Linked DNA regions of Caenorhabditis elegans. The gene in region 1 interacts genetically with each later gene. Each region holds a gene or a part of one and is shown in the gene's direction. Other genes may lie near its edges.

What was found.
Region 2: of tap-1 (region 1) and mom-4, changing one enhances a phenotype caused by changing the other (phenotypic enhancement), as found in Caenorhabditis elegans (one study listed by BioGRID).

Annotation. Positions count from the first base shown.
Region 1 is NC_003284.9:14,584,597-14,594,025, forward strand, and holds tap-1 (TGF-beta-activated kinase 1 and MAP3K7-binding protein 1), read left to right. Parts: upstream 1-5,027; 5' UTR 5,028-5,061; coding exon 5,062-5,198; intron 5,199-5,558; coding exon 5,559-5,694; intron 5,695-5,738; coding exon 5,739-5,882; intron 5,883-5,926; coding exon 5,927-6,003; intron 6,004-6,056; coding exon 6,057-6,165; intron 6,166-6,209; coding exon 6,210-6,335; intron 6,336-6,508; coding exon 6,509-6,594; intron 6,595-6,689; coding exon 6,690-6,786; intron 6,787-6,939; coding exon 6,940-7,188; 3' UTR 7,189-7,225; downstream 7,226-9,429. Other genes in the region: bltp-3B (Chorein N-terminal domain-containing protein), read right to left, coding at 612-716, 766-1,032, 1,232-1,309, 1,353-1,693, 1,859-2,056, 2,106-2,423, 2,943-3,078, 3,282-3,392 and 5 more. UniProt on the Caenorhabditis elegans protein: Involved in the Wnt signaling pathway by regulating mom-4 kinase activity.
Region 2 is NC_003279.8:9,893,988-9,906,208, reverse strand, and holds mom-4 (Mitogen-activated protein kinase kinase kinase mom-4), read left to right. Parts: upstream 1-5,391; 5' UTR 5,392-5,609; coding exon 5,610-5,678; intron 5,679-5,836; coding exon 5,837-6,003; intron 6,004-6,106; coding exon 6,107-6,205; intron 6,206-6,250; coding exon 6,251-6,330; intron 6,331-6,747; coding exon 6,748-6,874; intron 6,875-7,487; coding exon 7,488-7,869; intron 7,870-8,212; coding exon 8,213-8,431; intron 8,432-8,480; coding exon 8,481-8,584; intron 8,585-9,272; coding exon 9,273-9,384; intron 9,385-9,435; coding exon 9,436-9,551; intron 9,552-10,091; coding exon 10,092-10,227; 3' UTR 10,228-10,531; downstream 10,532-12,221. Other genes in the region: Zinc finger protein ztf-11, read left to right, coding at 1-89, 358-477, 687-981, 1,032-1,110, 1,466-1,813; lsl-1 (C2H2-type domain-containing protein), read right to left, coding at 3,383-3,472, 3,521-3,619, 3,670-3,778, 3,942-4,208, 4,445-4,685, 4,733-4,817, 4,865-4,930; col-64 (Nematode cuticle collagen N-terminal domain-containing protein), read left to right, coding at 10,613-10,756, 11,158-11,543, 11,641-11,909, 12,198-12,221. UniProt on the Caenorhabditis elegans protein: Part of the Wnt signaling pathway essential for the specification of the mesodermal cell fate in early embryos. Stimulates the wrm-1/lit-1-dependent phosphorylation of pop-1 and plays a role in the initial nuclear accumulation of wrm-1.

The DNA of each region.
Region 1 (9,429 bases):
GCTATAAACTATAAAAGTGTCATTTGGAAAATTAGATTTTCGGCAAACTTCGACTTTTAAAGATTAAACTTGACAAGTAGAAGTTAAAAGTGGAGCAGCGTCAGTGGGGAAAATGTTAAACACCACTCCCATGGTCTCAAAATAAAGGAATATCATAATAAAATTTTTCAACAAAATTTTGAAAATTTTTTATTAATGTCAAAAGTTACAATTACTTAGTTTTTGTCGCTCATCATTTTGGAAGTCGACCAAAAAAAATTGTTTTCTACATTTTTTATACTGTAATTTTGTTTTAATTATTAGTATTAAAACATTGTAGGGGTGCGACATTGCTTTGGAATTCCTCAAAAACTTTTAAAAACATTTTGGCAATTTGCCCAAACTTTGACCGGAAATTATGAAAAATCTCAAATTTTTTGGAGTTTTTATTAAGATATTCGGTCGTTTTAGATTGTTATAGGTGTATTTGGACAAAATACCCACTGGCGCTACTCTACCTTTGAAGGGATATGGTTAAGGGACAAAATATACCTTAAAACAGAAAATACAATAATATATGTTACAAAAGTTAACAGTTTCGAACATCCTAACATATTTTTTTGCGTACGTACCTGCAGAAACTGGTAATGGTCGACCACTACGGCAACATCCTCTGCTGGCTCCACCAAGACATTCACTTTATCTTTATCAATTGCCAAAATGCCATTAAATGACACCTATAAAATTGAATATTTTAATTTAATATGTATAACATAAAACACTAACATCGTGCAAAAACGGAAATCCTTTGGTCTGTGGTCCATGATCAATTTCAATCCAAACTGGTGATGTGCAAATATGAAATTTGTTGAGTCCATTTATCAATTGATTTTTCACATCACTATGCTCATCTGTGCTCTCAGACAGAATGCGGAATCTGCTGTTCTCTTTGAAGTCGATTTGACTTGATGAGATAGAGAGTGTTGACATAGACGTAACAAGTCTTCGAGGGAAGTTGAAATCTGTGAATGGTCCTGGCAGGTTAAGGACAAGCTGAAAAAAAAAGGAATTTGAAAGAAAAGTGTAAATAATTAATTTTGTGTTTTGAAATTAATATAATATATAATAAAGACCTAGTTCTAAATATGCCAACTATTTTTTTGAAAAAGTTTTGAAACTTGGGACACAGTGAACATCAATGTAGCATTCTCATTGACCACGAAAAATAATAATTAAGCTACACTTCACTCACCCTTGGCATTACCAAATTGACTTTGATAGTTGGTGGTTGAATGTCCAGCTCATTTTCAGGAATAAGATTTCCGTCTTCCTGAAATTAAAGCAAATTCTCCCCTTCACCCTTGGAAACTTACAATAGCTGATGAAAGAGCATGAGCAACATAACAGCACCATCTCATCGTTCGTTCGTCAAACGAAATCGTGAATGGACCAAGTTGGAAGTACACAGCAGAGTTTGGAACCGGAAGCTTGTCCGAGTGTGGGTGGTAAAACGCGCCAAACTCCACGTGCACAATTTGCTGGTCAGACGGTAGTGAGTGAAGGTGTCGTTCACTTTCGAACAAGTTTGTCAACGCGTCCTTCTTTGTGTTCATATCAGAAACACATTGAATTGTCAAGTCATGAACTCGTAGAACCACAAAGAATCCTATTAGTTGGGGCCAGCAACGTTCTAGTCTTGTCCGGGTTGTTTGACCTGTAATATTGAAATTACACAAAATTATTTGTAAGTTACTGACGTATTTGTTTGGTGCAAAAATGAAACTGATTTTAACTGTTTTCAATTCATAAAGAACGAACAATTTATAGATTCTAGATGTAAGTTCACTTCTAAAGAATTCTGCGAATTGACATTTTTTACCTTCAGCATTTCCTAGAAGTGTAAGAAATTGCTCCGACAAATGATTTCGGAACCAAGCAGCAATTGGGTTTGTATTTGAATATCTCATCCACGTGGATCTATCTGATTGAGCATGAGCTTTTGGGTAGACGTCGATGAGAACTTGATATAGAGTAACTTGCATAGCACCGCTTTCAATATCCCAATCTGGTGGGTAATCTAAATTTTAATTTGTATAGTGCAACTATCATTCTTTGATAAAGTTTACCACTGGCTGTATGAGCATCATCACATAAATGTAGGTCAATTTTCTTGACATGGAGATGATATGAAGTTTGGTCAAAATAGAAAATATTGTACGCAGAGGAAATTGTGCTCGCGTCGGCCGTCGCACTGTTGCCGGCGGCTTTCATAAACGGATTATCGTTCCCGCTGCTTGTGGTTATCACATCGTTTTTCTGAGACTCTTTGACAAGTTTGGCAATGTAACTGGCAAATGAGATTGCTGAGCGGAGTTGGGGAAGTGTGGCGACCCAGAGAATGTCGTCGAGGATTGTTTGAATTCTAGCGTGGATTACCGAGCCGTCTGGAAAAGATTAAAATAGAAAGGGTTTAAAGCTTGAAAAGATATAGTCTAAAATAGTTCGATCAGAGGAGACAAAGTTGAATATTCTTGAAACTTTAATTCTTTAAATGAATTTGAAGGTGGCCCACGGCTAGTGGAAAAATGGTTTAAAACTATTCCTATAGGGCTACAACTACCAAATATCAATGAAACTTTTCAGAAGCTTCTGGAAATTTTCTTAATGATATTTAGTAATTTTAGCATTACAGGAATGGGATTTAGTTATTTTTCCATTGGCCGTAGTCCACTTTTAATTGAACATCAATTTCATTGAAAAAAATGAATTCGTAAATTTTCTATCTACTTTTTTTTTACAAAATTTTTCCTCAAAATCCAGAATATGCTCTTATATACACACATAAAAAAATTCCCATGATTTTATGGGCAATAAAAGTTCCAAAACTGCATTTAAAACTCGGCATACGATTCAATTTTATTCCACTTTTTTTTGTATTCTCTGCTTTACCAACAAAAACTCACCATTTACATTCTTTTTCAATGCAATTCGAATTTTTCCGCCACTCGTGATCAATCGTAATGGAGCATTGATTTTGGATCGCTGCTCATTTTTCGAAGTTTTCGCTGAGGCTTCAATGCGAAGGAGATGCCAGGAAAGCTGTAAGTTGGAGGTTTTATTTTAAGCCTATTTTAACAATTTGAATATCAGATGTTTTTTTGAAAATTTTAAAAATCCAACTATGTATTTTTCCTGAATATTTTTTTTCTAATCACATTTTTTAAGATTCATCTTTGATGAGATATTTTTAGATTTATAATTATTCAAATTGATTCTAGAAATGTTTCTTTTTAAAAATTCACCTGCTTAAACATCAATGTTCTATTTGTCTCCGAGCACGTAATTCTAGTCTGACGCAAGTCTTTCACTTGAGCCCATCCTGGACTTCTGCTCTCCACTGACAATCGTTGAAGCTGAAAAATTTCATTAATTAAAACATTTTCCGGCTGAGCAAACACAAACCATAAATGAGCCTCCGAATACGTCGGAATCAAAGTTAATTTCTACAGAACTTATATACAAAGACATGTTTTCGATGATTTTGTTCATGAAGCCGTATGAACTGCTGTCACCGAGATTTCTGCAAAAACGTGAAGGGTTTAATTTCGAAAATGGTAGAACTATGCTTACCCAAGTGGATTTGATTTTGCCTGTTTTTTATGCTCATTGGTAAGCTCCACATCCACATTGATTTCATCAATGAACTGAAATTATTTTTACGATTATAAAAGCATGAATTTGAATGAAAAAGGAGTTTATGTGAGACTATGACACTTTTCAAAATATTTATAACTTTTTTTTTACAAAATAGAAAACGTTATCAAAAATGCAACATTTGGCAGATTTAATTTGTCTGATATAATTATTCAAAATACGAGAATAAATTTGTCTACTTCAATTTCTAATTCAAAAAAAAGAAAACAACCTACAATCTGAATTGGGCAAGTTTTCAATTTGGTCCATGGTACATTCACAGCTACACCTGTACAGAATGCTCGTTTGATTTTCAACCACGAAGGAAGCTCCTGAAATTTTGAGTTTATGCAAGGAAAGCATGTACATTTAAAACTCACCAAAATCTCTGTCAAAACATCTTCGTTAATTTCAATAAACTGAAGTTTACTATTTCCTTTTAACACGTCTAAGGATATCTGCTCGGGCTTCAAGTTTTTTGTGAATCTGAAAAAAAGTGAATTTTTTGAGGGTGCAAACTTGATTAAATTCCATAGTAAAACTTTTCAAAAAAAATTTGAAATTTTATACTTATTGTCACAAGTAGCAATTACCAAGATATTTTTGGTTTTTTTAAGCGATTTGGAGCATATTTTGGCAAAATTCCCAGTGGCGTTACAAAAATTTTAACATCCATTTTATCAACTAAACAAGGAGGGTATTATTTGAGAAAAAATATGTTTGACGTTGTCATCGATTTTTAATATTTTTCAATACACTCAAAAATTAACTTACTTGGATAAATGTTTGACTAGCTGGTTTTTGATTATTGACGTCATCTTCGGTGTACAATTCTGCAAAAAAAATCGATTTTCAGGTGCGAACTACAAAAAACTACATAAATACACAGAAAATCATCAATAGAACATATTGAATCAAAAACAATGTGCTCATTATTTATGCGAAAATGCATTAATTGTCCAAATTGCGACTATCGGTTTTTGCCAATGGAGCGCGTTTGGCACACGCGGCGGTGTATGCTTGGGAGGGTGCGTGCGCGCGTCGGCATGCCAATTCTCTCAACGTGTTTGTGCTTGGCTAGCCATTGCTGCTTTTTGATAAGAATAGAAACGCGTTTTGGCGTGAGAAAAAAGACCGGATATAGATTTTGAAGATTAGAATTAGAATTTTTCCCTTTTTTTAAATTGTATTTCAATATAAAAATATAATTTGATTAGAATTTTTTGTTGTTGCTCATTGAACGTTTATATAATAAAAAAGAAAGTAGAAGTAGTCAATCAACAAATTTGTTTATCGTTTGTATTAATCGTTTTCTCTGTCATTATTTCTCTAACTCATCGTGAATTTGATTGTAGATAAGCAGGAGAGCAGTCGCAGAGCACAGGCAAAATGGGGGACGACGGGTTCCTCGATCAATACCCTGCCAACACCGATGCGGGCATTGGCACTGTGCACAGCTGCCGCTACTCAAAACAAAAAAATCCGGTGCAGAACAACGATTTTTTATCGTGCTCCATGTGCATACAGTGAGTTTATTCTACTTTTTTTGTTGCAAAATGAAACATAAACCGATCTTAATTAGGAAAAAAGTCAAATTTTACAGCAATTCAGTGGAAAATAAACTGAACGATTACGTGGGAAAATGCAATTTTTACACTTTCCTTGTCTAGTAACACAATGAACAAAAAATGAAAAGAGAAAGTTTTGGAACGATACATTGAAGGTGTTAAATACAATTTGTTTGCAAGGAAGTAAATGTCACAAGTACATCAATTAAAAAATAAAACTATATTTATCGTAATTTTTTGTTAAAACATGAAAGATCATGTAGACACAGATTAGTAGATTACATTAATAGTAAAAGTTAACAAATTTTCATTTTTCAGCAATGGACCCATCAAACTCTACGGTATTTTTTCCGGATTTAATGGTGGCGATTCAACAGCGAAGTTTGTCATGAACAGATTGGTATATGAGATTTTTGGAGAAAATCCAATTACACCAACACTACTCCCTTATCAAGTGATTTAACAATCAAATTTTCAACTCTACAACTACATTTTCAGGTGGTGGAAGAATTTAAACGGAAATTTGAAAACGTTGCCGAGCGTTATTTGTTGATGAACACCGATGATTTGAACAATCGACTGTTAAAGTTGGAGGAACAGTCGGAAACTGGAAATAATGCAGTATCGGAAATCAATCAAAAAGTTAGACTAAATTTTGAAATTATTATAATCTCCCAAATTTTCAGATTCGCCAAGGTACCACTGCCATAGTAGTCATGATCATTAACCAGGACCTATATGTGCTAAATTGCGGAAACTCTCTGTAAGATTTTTGAAACTGTTTGTTAGGAATTTTTGAAAAAAAAAAACTTTCAGCGCAATTGCTATGAACAGTGAGAACGTAGTGCAGCTCAACTCAAATCTACACAATAATGACAATCCTTTGGAGATTGTACGAATAAAAGGGCTAGGGATTAATCCGGAGGTAATTAATTTTTTTTGTAATAATTTTACAAAATAAGTTTACAGACAGTTCTGAATCCAACTAGAGCGATCGGTGACTTACAACGAACCCACCTGTTTGAAGAGACGGAAGCTTTCAAGAATGCAAAAGGACCACCGGTTATTTCTACTCCAGATGTTCAGTATACAAAGGTTTGCTATGATGAAATGTTGTTCTGGAACATTTTACGAAAAACAAGATAAAAGATCAAATTCAATGAAAATATTAGTCACAACACCTCAGATTTGATTACAAAATGAGAACATGTTTTCTTTTCTTTTTTTAAATGCTTATTTTCCAACCAACAGGTAACTTCTACTTTTAGATCGACCCATCCTGGAGACATTTGGTTCTGATCTCCGACGGTGTAGTTCAGAATCTTAAGGAAGTTGAAGTTGAAAACATCCCAACGTAAGTAGCAAACTTATGGAACTTTTTCGTCAATAACCAAGTCACACGTTTATAAAAATAAAAAATAAAATTTTCATCGATTCCCCAGTTTTCAGAGAAGTATCCGTTCGACTAATTGAAGATCACACAGTTACAAGTACAGCGCAGGCATTGGTAGACTCGTTTGCAAGAAAGCATCGCGATGCTTACACGGTTTGTTGGATTTACCCTTTTTTAGATAAGCAAATTTGAATACAATTTACAAAATTTTACCTATTTCTTCTCAATTCAATTAAATTTGTTCAAACATTGGGCGGATGTATTTTGCTATTCCACATTGCCATATTATTTTTATTTTATTTTCAGATGAGCGACGATAAAAATTTCTGTATCAGTAATCACAGAGAGGAAATGACTGTGATTTATGTGAAGCTCGAGGAAGATTACCAAGCGGCTCTTTACGAACAATTCGATTCAGCGATTTCGACAATGGAATCTACAAATGCAACATTGTATGAGCCCTGCTCGACACCATATGTCGATGCTACCAACTTCAATTCTGGAAAAAATTATGAAAAGATGAAGAAACTACTTCTAACTCGACCTTCAAAATAAATATTGTTGCTAGTAAATATAAATATTTGTTATCATGTATTATGTGTTATTTTTGCGGGGAGTATGATTATGATGCTTTCATTACAAATGTAACGTTATATGTGCCTATGTGGTGCCATGTGCCAGGATGTCCCATCACGGATTGATCTAGAAAAATAGCGGGATTTTTTCGCCCAAAAAAAATGCGACGTCAGCGCGTTCTTAACCATACGAAATCAGTGGAGAACTCTGCGTCCCCTTCTCCCGCATTTTTTGTATTATTGATCTACGTAGATCAAACCAAAATGAGTAACTCTGACACCACTTGTGTGCCCTGTTCGACACCTTACGTGGAAGCTACCAATCTCAACTCTGGGAACAATTTTGAAAAGATCAAGAAACATTTTTCAAGTCGACCGTCAAAATAATTTCTATTGTTGCTACTACATAGATCTAAACTTTTCTTTTCCTATTTCTTTGTTTTATTTTGAAAAAAAAATCTCTGACGAGAGATGCGGGGGAGGAGTTGCTTGAGCTGGTGTGAGATCAAATTTCTTGAATTTCACATCAACGCTTTTGTCCTGATTTTGAGACTAGATTTTTCCGTATTGGTCTTTTTCTGCATTTCAAAAAACAAGACGCAAATTCTGTTACATAATTTACCTTTTTCAACAATCGGTCGTTATCGTGAATTTGAAATGATCTGAAACGCTTATTTAGAGGCACACAGATTTGTAGGTTTTGTTGCAAGGAAAGCTTATGTCATCGCTTTTTGATCTTGACAAATGTCGTTTTTATCAGTTTAGTTTTTCAGAGAAAAAAGTTAGGATTTACACATATAACTGGGAGCCAAAAAAATTTTTTTTTTTAATCCCGCATACCTAAAATAGTCCCAAATGTTCGGAAAACATAATAAAAACATTGAAAAATTTGGATTTTTGGAGGTTTTCACTCAAAAATTCGGTGACAACTTTTGAAATGTTCGTCGAAAAGATTGGTTGCCAATTTTTGATTGTATAGAAATTTAAAAAATTCTTTATATCTACACACTCACGTGGCGCCAGAATGTCCCGCTTCGGTTTGATCTACGTAGATCAACAAAAATGCGGCGGTTGAGATACAGAGTTCTCAATCTTTCTGTGCGAAAAAATCCCGCTTTTTTTGTATTTCAAACCGTATTGGTACAGCCTGACACCACTTGCGCACTATAAGGAGCGGTTTTAGATGTAATGCTTTGAAATTGCAAGACAACATGCTGAGTGCAATCAGTTTGGTTTTTTAAATTTGTACAGAGTAGGCGTCTTGTCAAACTGTTTTTATCTATTTAAACTATTGATGTTTTGAACTTCTAGATTTCCATTTGCATATATTAAAACGGATATGTTAAAATTTGCATCTTACGTTTTCTTTGGCTCTCTTAACCCACTATTACACTAATAATAATAATTTAATACGTTGGATACAAGCTATGGTTTTTTTTCTACTCACAAGCTGTTTTCAGATGCAAAAGCTAGTTTAACCCTATAATCTAAAACGAATGTTTCTAAGCGGCCCCATACGTTATTCGTCAAGTTGAACGACTCAATTGAAATATCCGGAGTAACATACAACGACGCGTAACTAGATTTTCTATCTCTCTCTTCCACACTTACTCTAACACAAAAAGAGAATTGACTTTATTTTTTGTTAACATCTCTCACAGCTTCTAGATAGATCTTATTTGCTCTCATAGTTTTTTTAAATTTTTATTTTATCATCCCCCACTTGACACTTAATAGTGTTCAGAAGTATTATAAAATTTTGCATGTTACGGTTTTTTCAGATATTTTTGTTCTCAGGGCTTCAAATATCAAGCTTCATCTAGAGCATACTGTATTGTGTCCTTCCAGAGCCATCAAAAATGTATAGATGGAAGGACCATATAATGTCGACATTCTCATAATTGGACTCTGATCATCTCTCAAGAATAAAGAGAATGCATCGTTGCTTCTGAATTTATTGTTTCCTCAATTTTCGGTGGTGGTAGAAATTCCAAATTCAGATATCCTTCACATTTTTTTTCTAATTTATTTATCGAAACGACATGTTGAAATGACTGAAGAATTTATTTGGGTTGCGCGCCAGAGACCTTCTCAGTATGAACCAACATTTTCATAAATTTGTGGTGTGCGGTGCTTATTAAAAAATGTGCACCAATCTGGTTCAAAATATGCTTAATAAACAGAGAAAACCTTATTAACCCCAAATAAAGGAGATAATCAA
Region 2 (12,221 bases), on another chromosome or scaffold:
TTCAATCTCTACAACTCCAACAGTTGCATTTACTCCAAACGGATCAATTCCATCACCTGGTACTGGTTACTCATGGAGCATCAGACGTGGTAAGGACTTTTTGAACAGAAAGTTGGGACCCTACAGTAATCCTCTGAAGATATTTCAGTTGAAAATCAATCTCTAACCCCAACTTACTAACCACTAATTCCCCCATTCTGAGTTTTCTTTCGAAGAATATCAAAAAATAATAATCCATTTGGGAGGGATAAAATGAGTGCACTAACCACAAAATAAACTAATCCCCTCACTTACCACTCCACTCGCACCGAATCACATGAAATTCCATTTGGAGCGGTACTAAGTCCCAACTTTCAGAAGGCAAACTGGCTTGTCCAACACCTGGATGTGATGGATCAGGACATCAGACAGGACTCTACACTCATCACAGAAGTTTGTCCGGATGTCCACGTAGACCAGACAAGACTGTTATCCAAAGTAAGTTTAAATTGAAACTAAACATAAATCTTAGCTGGCTGTGAACTTGGAGCAACAAGTAAACTAGCTCATTAATCTGGTAAAAAGAGCTTAAGATAAATGAGCTCTCATGCATTTCATACTTACTTTGAAGCCAATACTTGTAGCAGTAGCAAGAGCCAAAGATTGATGACTTTTCCCACTCACTCACTTACTTTTCCCGTTTGCAGTGCTTGCTCTCCGACAAGACACCGTGCTCCGATGCACCACAGCCGGATGCTCTGGAAAGGGACATGTCAATGGAAATAGAACATCTCACCGTAGTCTCTCTGGTTGTCCAATTGCCCATCAGGAAAAGCTTGCACGGAAGGGAATTAAGACAACACCACAACGCACGAAAACTCCAATTAAGGGAATCAGTATTTCTGATGAATGTCCACTTGACTTGACACTTTCTGGACTTCCAGCTGGATTGTCAGCTCAGCAATTGTTGGCTGCAGCACAAGCAGGACTCATTCCATCAAGGTATTCTATTTCATTCTCAATAAACAGTTTCTATAAAATTGAATTTTCAGTCAAATGATGGATGCTCTCTTCCAACAATTCTCTCAAACACAACCACTTGCTACATTGGAAGAGGAGTCAAAGAAAGAGGTACAATAATTTATAACATTTGATTCTGAGAAGTTTTTAATTGAGGAATATTTGTACTCTCTGAAAATAATTTTATTTAAAAGTTTTGGGAAAATGCTCATAAAAATTACTTTAAAGACCTGAAAAACTTTCTCAAACTGTCCTTTACCGAAAAAAAATTCTAAGACAGTTTTTTGGTAAATGACAACTTCCTCCAGTTTCCAAATTTCCCAAGAAAATGAAGATTATTTCCGAATCAATCAGATATTTTTCCATTTTTCTATATTAATTTTTGATCCGAAATGGGCAGTTGTGAAGATTTGAAAAACTTACCAAAGTCACTTTATCTTTTAATCTTAACGGTAATTTATTTCAGAACGAGATGGAAGTTGACGTTGAAACAACATCAGATGATATTCCAACTCTTATTAAAGAAGAAGAAGAAGTTAAATGCGAGTCACCTGTTCCATCCGTGATCCCAGAGATTCAATCAACACCATCAAGACCTGTTGCTGCTCCAGTTGCTCCTGGCTCCGCGGAAAAGAGCTCCCCAACATCTCAAATGCTCCTTCAAATGCCTGGATTCTCGGAGGCTCTTCTCAAAATGACTGCCCCACAAGTGCCATTCCCTCAGTATTCCCCACAAGCGGCTCTTTTCGGAAATCAAAGTGCTCTACTTGCTCAAATCATGCTGACACAATTGCAAATGCAGCAAGGGTTTTAAGTTTTTAAAAAATCGTATTTATTTCTAGTTTTCACATTACCGATTGATTCACATTTGTGTTCAGAAACTCAATACATTCCTTCTTTATTCAAATAGTTTTTTCTTTTATCCCTCACTCTCCTCAATCTATTCTTTCAAACTGATTTATCTCTACTCCTCTCAAATCTGTGTGCTCTCTCGGGCAGCACCAGCAGCCCGGTGGTCATCATCAATCAAGCATCGTGGAGCGAAGAGAGAGAGAGACCGTATTAAGAAGTGGCAGATGTCGCCAGATTGCACCGTTTGCACCAAAAATGACAGTAGTTGAGAGTTTGCCAGTTACTTTTCGGTCATTGACCTTTCTTAGAAATACTCAATCAAGTGAATTGGACAATATGTTAGGGGGAAACGGTCCTTACAATTAGTTTATTTATTGTTCACTCGACCTTTTTTTTGCTAAAGAATATTGAAATGGAAGAGGAAATTGAAAAATGAAACTTGCAAATAATATTCCGATGTGTACTTAAGGCTATTTTCTGAAATTGATGCAATTTTAACGCTAAAACTTGCAAGAAACATTGGAAACTACTTATATATTACGAGATTACAACATTCTGAGCCGCGCAACATATCTCGTAGCGAAAACTGCAGTAATTCTTAAAATGACTACTGTAGCTCTTGTGTCGATTTACGGGCTCGATTTTTTGAATTATTTTTTTTTCGAATATTGAAAGAAAAATCGAGCCCGGAAATCGACATAAGAGCTACAGTAGTCATTTAAAGAATTACTGTAGTTTTCACTACGAAATATTTTGCACGTCAAACATGTTTTCTCAGAATATTGTGCTCCCGTAATAGTTAAATCGCTCGTAAATCCACAAAGCAAATGCTGGCCTAGTTTTCTCCTCTTTCTCTTCCATTTCAAATTCAAAAAACTCCCCGCTTTCTAGTTTTCAAAACACCTTCAAATCCGTCAAACATATAATCTTAAAGTATCAATATGCACCACCTCAACTCGTTTACCTCTTTAATGAGCCACCTGCACTGCTTTTCGTCTGCGTCTCTCACTTCTTCATACTTTTTTTTCCCGGCTTTCTCCGAAAACATCTGCTCTTTCTCTGTGTGTTCCCGATTCCCTCAAATCTTTTTTTGTTCCCCCGCGAGAGGGATATTCAAAACGTGTGTCTCATAAATGTAATTTATATTCTAGAATCTGAAATTGGTTGTTTTTCCAAATTAAAAGAAGTATCATTGATATCCCCAACCCTGTGTATTAAATGTCTTAAAATCAGAAATCATCTTCTCTCATTATCACAGCTTTACCATTCAAACATTCCCCCAAATTGTCTTTTTCTTCACCTTGTCCTGCTTTGGTTGTGCTTTAATTGTGAATTTCCCAACTCCTTTATGCTTCTTTTTTACTTCCTTCCTTAAAAAACTTTGCCATCATCCAACGTTTGTTGTATTTTGTCTTCCATTCATATTTTCAAAATGAAAACTTCATAAAAATGAAAGGAACAAGTGCAACAGAACAAAACAATTACACGGGCGTTAGAAAGACAGGGATGTGGGGAAAATTCAGGGGAAAAACTATGCTGATGGTTTTAGAATGTTCATCTCATTTTCAGTGTTAGTGATCATACTGTAGCAGATTTGAGAGATATCGACTTCTGGAGAGCCCTGAAACAAAATAATACAATTAAGAATTAGCAATATTTAACAACTCACCATTTCAAGTTCATTATTACGAATCATCAATTGAACACGAGAATGATAGCTTTGGTGTTGACGATACATATCTACGTCGGCGAATACTCTCATGCATTTCTGAAAATAAAGTTTACAGGATATTCAAGATTTAATTTTCAATTATTTACCGTGCAATAATTTGGTTCTTCAGCTTCTTTCTTATCATGAGAAGCATACATATGCAGTTGACAATCCTCTCTTCCACTACATTCGCACTTGCAAATTGGGCATCGAAAGCTGTAATTTTCAGATTTTGCATGGGATATTAGTAAGACAATAATTATAATAATTTGCGGTAAAAATACAAACGCTGGTCTTTTCACGTCTTCTTTTTTTGTAAAATACAAAAGGGCGTGCGCCTTTAAAGAGTACTGTAATTTCAAATTGAATTGAAACTTACATCTCAAACTCGAGTGGTTTAGCTTGTTCTAGAACATCGGATGCCATGTGACAGTTAGTCAATCGCATTGTAGCTCTCATGATTTTATCGTCAAATGAAGATAGTGGGATAAGCTGGTTTCGGCAGATCATATCAACCCATTTTGAAGGATCTTTACCCAATAAAAGTTTCGGAACCGATCGCTTCTTCTCTGGATTGTAATAGGGCATCGATGTCCCACGAATGACTAGAGCATCGGACGGAATAATTCCAGACGAACGCCGATTGCTGAAATCATTTTTAAGACGAGATAGATATCAGAATTCCCCTCGTACAACACATATAATTCGTGGTTCGTGTATTATACGGTGGACGTACAATAAATGTATTATTCACATAATATAATGGACGAAGTTCTTAAAATTCGTGCAATGCAATGTGAATAACATATTTATTGTACGTCCAATGTATAATATACGTACCACGAACTATTTGTGAAGGTGAAGGGTCGACCGATTGCCAACCTCGAATATGGTCTATAAGCAGCTTCCAACTCTTCTTTGCTTGTCACATGAGTTCGCATGTGCTTTTTCATGTTTCCTTTCAATCGGAACTGTTTTCCACAAAATGGACACACATAAGGGGTATAGCCGGTGTGAACGGTACGATGCTCGAACATATTCGATTTGTATCGGAATCCTCGGCCACAAACATCGCAGATGTATGGTTTGGTGTCGGTATGAATCACAGAGTGCTGTTGGAGACCTGAAATGTTTTTTTTTATTTCAGCTTTCTATTTTTATGCGAATAACCTTTATAATTCATAAACATTTTATTACACACATTACACTGATGAACAGCAAACGGGGCGACTTCTTCTTGTTGATAGGTTCCGAACTAGAAACATTTCAATAATCTTAAAAATAAGAATCGAAATAAAATACCGTTATAGAAGCTTCGTAGTCCTCGCCGTCGTAAGATGGATCCGTTCGGTCATCAATAATTGACATCTGAAGTAAAAAATAAAATTTTTTGAAGAAAAAATGCAGACAATTTGTTGGTTTAAACATAAAATTAAGACAAACAAAACTCATAAATTAATTGACAGCTTCTCTAAATTTTAGGATTACCGTGTTTGACAGTTTCGTGGTGAGACCCAAAAGTTTCGTTGCGTCATGCGCCTTTGAGCACAGTGTCCCCAACAAAGAATTGTTTCTGCAATTTCGAATTAAGCTGAAAACATTATTTATATATTTAACAAAATTAGTTTAGAACAGAAGAACAGAAAATTAGAACATTTTCGATCTTTGTATTTTTTATACAAATATAATTTGAATAAATTTCCATACTTCTTCCCCGTTGTGTAATTTCTTTACTTTTCAGAACTTAAAACATTCAATTATTCTTTATTTTGAATTTTCTGTAAAACCTGCGCAATTGAATTTTATGTATTTATCAAAACAATTTTCAGCCATGCTACAGTAACTTCTTTAAAATCATCATTCTTCCTTGTCTAAATCGGAAATCTGTCTGTGTCCCGTTGGTCTATTTTGTTATTCGTCTGCAGTTTCTTCTACTTGTGCACTATATCGTTTCCACTGAGCGAGAGAAAGAGTATACACACACAACACATGCCAGTTCCTGTCCTTTGCCGCCCATCACCATTTTTTTCACCGTTTCGGCTCTGAAATGGACAATTCGTCACAGAGCAAACCGTCTAGTAGTTCGTCCAGTCATTCGCCAAGTCCTGCCGCAATTGTAAGTTTAATGGATTTTGAGTAAAGAAAAATAACGTTTTCTTGTAAAAACAGTATTGTATTTAATTTTTAAAAAAATCAGTTGAAGACGTATAAAGCCTGCTTTTACCAAAACTATCAATAAAAATCACTGAAAACTCAATAAATTAATAAATTCAGACACCAACACAACGAACAACACGAGATTCCGGATTGTGCTCAACAATTGATATTCCCGAAATTCAAGCACAATGTATTGATAATTTAAATAGTCATTATCTCGGAAAAGGCACTTATGGATTGGTTGAGAAAACAAGATATAGAAAAACTAGGCAGGATGACTTTAGGTTCGTTTCTAGCTTCAAAAATTTAAATTTAATTCTTTTAAAGCATGAGGAATTATCAAAAGTTAACAAAAAATCAATAAAATCACCAAAATATTATTTTCAGGCCAGCAGCAATCAAATATTCTTCTCAACTTCATATGGCAACTCTTATAAGAGAAGCAAAAGTTATGTGGGATCTCAGAAATCATCCTAATATTATAAAGTATGTTTTTATAAATGGAAAATACTGAAAATAGAAGTTTTTCAGAATTTATGGACTGTACAAAAGCCCTCGGAATGGGCAAGGAGTCGTTATGGAATATATGGATTGTGGAAGCATGGCCGATTGTGAGATTTTCATTTAAATTTAGTGAAAATCCCCGATTTCGCCAAATTTTTTAACATTTTGTCGGTTTATTCCGTGTTTCTTAGCGAATTAAACTACATTTTTTCGGCAATAGGAACAGAAATTTCTATCAGCTAAAAATATATTAAAATACATCAAAAAAGCGGATTATACTGCAAAATATGGAAGAAACTGAATAAAAATCAATATATGGACGCTGTAACACGAAAAATCTGGCAAAAAAAATTTCACTATAATTTTGAACAAAAAAAATGCTATTTGGTTTTTTTTTTCCATTTTTAGTCTTAAAAAAATCGCTTTAAATTCTCCAAACCCTGTTTTTTACGAAATTAAAAATTCATTTCAATGAGGCAATTCTCCAAAATAAAATTTAGCTGAAAAATCTATTTTTTTTTCAGTACTCTACGACAGAACACACATTAATTATACAATTGATCATGTGGCTTCATGGATGTTTCAACTATCATCCGCCGTCGATTTTTTCCATTCCAACAGCCAAGTTCACAGAGATTTGAAACTTCAAAAGTGAGTTTTTGATAGCAGAAATTATTGAAAGAAATATATATGTTGGATGTGAAGATGTTTTCAGTGATTTTTGAAAATTAACAGAAAAATATTGAAATTTTTTTCTTTACTATTAGCTAATATATTAGGTAAATTTTTTAAAAGTTGAAAGAATTAATGGCGGAGATCCTGTCAATTTAACAATTTAGATTTTAGAAAAATTCAACAAAATCTTTTGAAATTTTAAGTGAATTTAGTACAGAAAAGCAGAAATGTTTCGAATCCATTTTTAGACATTCGAAAAATTAATTTTAAAGGGTTCTACATTTTTGTGTGAGCTATTTTTTTTATTTTTTTAAGCAAAAAGTTCCTTGAAAATTGGTCCACAAAATAATGTGTAAAATCTAAAAAAAATCATTTTTAAAAAATAATATTTCAAAGTGGATTTAAAAATATCCTCCAAGAAGAACTAATCATATGAAAATAATTTTAAAAAGCCATTTTAAAAGTAAAAATGAGGAATTTCTTAATTTTTGTAGCTTTTCAAATTTCAATAAATTATCAGAAATCTTTAGCGGTCAGTTTTCAAAATTAAAATTAAATCACCTACTGTGGTCAATCAAAATAATTTCAGCATGCTTCTCTCTGATCGATATCGAACAATGAAATTATGTGATTTTGGAACATTTACCTCAATGCATCAATCAATGACTTCAAATCGTGGAACTCCAATCACAATGGCTCCAGAAGTATTTCGATGTGAACAGTATAATATGAAATCTGACATCTACAGTATTGGAATTATAATGTGGCAAATTATTGCTAGAAATCATCCGTATCGAAGAGATCTCTCAGTTCCTGGACTTTTATATAATGTTGCGACAGCTAACTTACGTCCACAAGAACTCGAATGTAATCCTATTTTGTCTGAATTTTATAAGAAATGTTGGAATGATAATGCTGATATTCGACCGACTTCTTCCGAATGTGTAGAATATTTTACTCTTCTAAAAGATGTAAGTTCTTTTAAAAAATTAAAAATTAAATACTCAACCAGTTAAAAACAATTTTTTTGAATTGAACAAATATTTCTAAAAATACAAAATTAAAATTTTTGGACAATCTCGAAAGAAGGTGCTGCAAAGCAAATTAAATTTTTTGTTTTCGAATTTTTTATTGCGAAGAAATTAAAGTATTTATTGAATTTATTTTAAAGTTTTTAAATTTTAAAAATTGTGTTATTCCAACACAATTTTTAATTTTATCTGAGAATTACTGTATTCGTGATAAGACCTGCTTTTCTATGAAACATATGAATCTCGCCAAACTCCAAAAAAACTAATTTTTTTTGCATTAAAGGAATATCCGAATGGGAGCGTACCTTTATCGGATTCTTCAACAAATGGACCAGCAGAAACTCCTCCACCACATGCTCATCGACCAACAATGCTTGGAACTTCTTCTGGAAGTGGAATAGGATCAAATAATCGAACACCAACTGCTTCAAAACTTTTAAATCCTCAACAACCTGGACAGGGTCATAGAAGAAATCGTAGTGAGACTTTTGTAGTGCAACCGGTAAGATTTTCATTTGGATAGCTTGAAAAACAGAAAATTGAAATTTTAGGATCTACCGTATCCAACGGTTCCGGGTGAAGCTGGTGCATCTAGAATACCAAAATCTCAAAGTGAAGCTAAAAATTTTCGGGATAGAGCCAAAAGCGAGCAAAGGTAGGAATTAATGGAAATGGAGATGAGGACTGTCCTGTTTTTGGGGTTTTTCGGATAAGAAACTAAATATCTAAAGACATGCAAATTTAGACTAGAATAATTGAAAAAAACATTTTCGATTATTTTTCAGACGAAATTAAAAAAAATTGAAAAAATTGTTGTCTTTCTATTTTCTCGCAAAAACCGAAAAAAACGTTTAGAAAATTAACTAAAGGATTAAATGTTTAAAAACTTGTTTTTATGAAAAAAACAAAGAAAGCATGTAATTTTCTTTATAGAAAAGAAAAATTACCAAAATTTGAAGCTATTTTTCAAACATCGATTTTTCAATTTTTTCAGAGAAAGTCAAAAAATTTAAAAACGAACATTGTTTGATTTTTCTGAAATTCTAATAATAGAAAAAACGAAAAAAAGTGTAATAAATATCAATTTAAAAAATGAAACTATTAATTTATCAAAAAATTCATATTTCGATGAGAAAATACGAAAATTGCTTTTAAAAATAGAAATATGACCGAAAAGTATTTAAAATTTGGCATTTTCCAAAAATAAAATAATTTTTTTAAATTTTAGCTTCTTTGGTTCTTAGAGAAATTAAAAAACTAACACTTTGATGGGTATTTCTACAAAAGTAGACATTTATTTTTTCCATTGACGTGGTGTATTATGAAATATCTCTTTTTTTCAGGCAACCACATAGAGACGCACGTCCTCCTCCTCCTTTTGAGCACCGAAGAGATAGCAACGATGAGGAAAAACATGCCGTTTTTATGAATATTTGTTCGAATGAGGAGACTAGAGTAATCCTTCGATGAGATTTGAATTAAATATAATAACATTCAATTTTTCAGCCTATTGATCCTGATACTCGTGACGAAAAATCTTTGGAAATCTTTCATCAACACTGTGATAATAATAAACAATATGCAGATGCTTGGGTCATTAAAAAAGAAGTTATGAGAGCTAAGTTAGTTGAAATTGCTATGTTTCAATGTAAAAAATTTGTTTTAAGATAAAAAGCATTTCTGGAAAAGAGGAAAAATTCAAATTTTGTATCATTGCATTTTCCGAAAAAAAAATCGAAAAAGTGTTTAGATTTTAATTTACGAAAATATCAGCTTTTCATCAAATTGTGTTAAGTTTGTGAAAAAAAAACAATTAAACATGTCATTTTCATTTGATAAAATAAAAAATTATCAAAATAAAAAACTAGTTTAAATATCAAAAAATCTAAATTTTTTGAAAATATCTAAATATTGAATAACAAAAATTACATATTTTTCGATTTTTTATTTCAAATCGAAAAAGCGAAATAATTTTTTTCTAAAACAAAAAGTGCAATTTCAAGTGTTTTTTTTTGAAAAATTATAATTTTAAAAAGTTTTAAGTAACAAAAATTATGGATTATTTATTTTCCAAAATAACGGTGAAAATTTTAAATATCCTGACCGAAATTTTGCTTAAATCAAATTCAAGTCCAATTGAAAAATACAATTAAAAATTTCAGACATGAGCTAATTGCCCAATGGCCTCAACACGATCACACGGTAGAACTTCTTGAACGGAAATATTATCTGGAACAAGAAATTGCAAGATATCGGGACATCCAAGATGATAATTACTTTTCAACTGAAAGAATGTGAACTCATTTCACTTTTTTTAAAAACATTCTTAGATGTATACTCATCTCTAAATAACTTTTATCTATATACTCACTTCTTGTTCAATTTGAATTCTGATCACTTCCTGTCAACTTTCTCTTTCAGTCCCTCTTTTCCTGTCAAACTTCTCTCTCCTCTTTAAAACGCTGGTCGCTGCCGTCTGTCCTTCCGAAGTTCTAAATGTAATTGTTATTATCTATAGATTTGTGTATTTAGTGTCTAGATATCATTACATGACTGTCGATTTTATGACAAGAAAACGTTTTGTGGAATTATCTATCTACACATCCAACATCTGAACGTATCACCCATGCCAACGTGCATATAAAGAGTGATACGAACGGCAGTGAAGAGACAGTCTACTGAAATGGGTTACGGTACCAATGTGGCTTCTGGTGTTACTGTCATTTGTGCAGCTTTTCTTATTCCAATGCTAACATGTACTATTTCTTTATTTTATGAAGTTGCACAAATGCACATGAGTGCAATGGATGGAATGGATGAATTCAAGGTGAGAGGCTAATTGCAGATAGTAGGCTTAAGCTTATGTTTAAGCTTCACCAGAAGATGCAAATATTTTTAGTATTTAAAAAACATTGATTGACTTATTGCTAAATGATTATCATAGTCTCGAAGCGACAAAAAATGTTTAAGTAAGTCTGCGAAAAAAATGGTTGTGCGCCTTAAAAAAGTACAGTATTTTTCACTACCCTTTAATTTGCAACTAATCTCAATATTTTCCATAAACGTAAACATATGAAAACTATACAGCAAAATGAATGAAAATTAATGTACTCTTTAAAGGTGAAAACTCTTTTTTCTTAGCCTCCGTTTTAAATGTTTCGATCATCGTGTCGAGACCTCAACTTTGCTCAGTGACTCCAGAGGCAGAGGCCTTACTATTATTTTCAGTTGTATGCAAACGGTGCATGGGAAGATATGCTCCCAGCAACTCGCCTTCCTCGTGAAGCTTCTCCAACTCCGGATTCAAATAAAGACCCATGTGATTGTGATACGGGACCAGCAATCAATTGTCCAGTAGGCCCACATGGCCCACGTGGTAGGCCTGGAAGAAAAGGAGCCGATGGACCACACGGAGGTCAAGGACGAAAGGGTCCGGATGGAATGGATGTATTCAAAGAAATGATTGGTCCTGTTGAATGTATTCCATGTGTTGCTGGAGAACCTGGACCACCAGGAGAAAATGGTTCTGTTGGAGAAAAAGGAGAAGATGGACAACCTGGAAGTCCTGGAAAACCAGGTGAAGATGGAGAATCTGGAACTGATGGGGAACCAGGGTGAGTATTATACTTTAAAAATATTCAATATACATTTTTTAAATGAATCCTCAAAATGAATCTAGTCAAACTCAGAATTCTAATTTTCAATTTCAAGATTCATCGGATTCCCTGGATTCCCAGGTGCACCTGGTGAGAATGGAGAACAAGGAAACAATGCAACTCGTGGAGTTGGAATTCCTGGACCAGCAGGACCACCGGGTCCTCCAGGAGAAGTCGGAATGCCTGGAGTAACAGGTGAAACTGGAGAAGACGGACATGATGGACCTGAAGGACCAGAAGGACCAGCTGGAAATATAGGAGATATAGCTGAAGAAGGACCAGATGGTATTCCAGGCGAGCAAGGAGTTCCTGGGTTCGATTCCGGTTAGTTGAAAACATGAAATATTAACTCACGATCTACAAAACACATGTCTACGTGGTTAAATTTACAGGAATTATCAAACTTTTATTTTTGTTAATTCTGACGTATTATTTCAAAAATTCGACTGCTGGAAATTTATTCAAAACACTGTAGACCCAAAAAACCTTGAAAGTCGGTGCTACTACAAGACATACGATCTTGAAACAACCATTACTTTGAAACTAACTCTGACTATGAGAAACTTGCAACTTTGAAATCGATTTCTATTTTCCTTATTTTATAATTTCCAGGCTATTGTCCATGTCCTCGTCGAT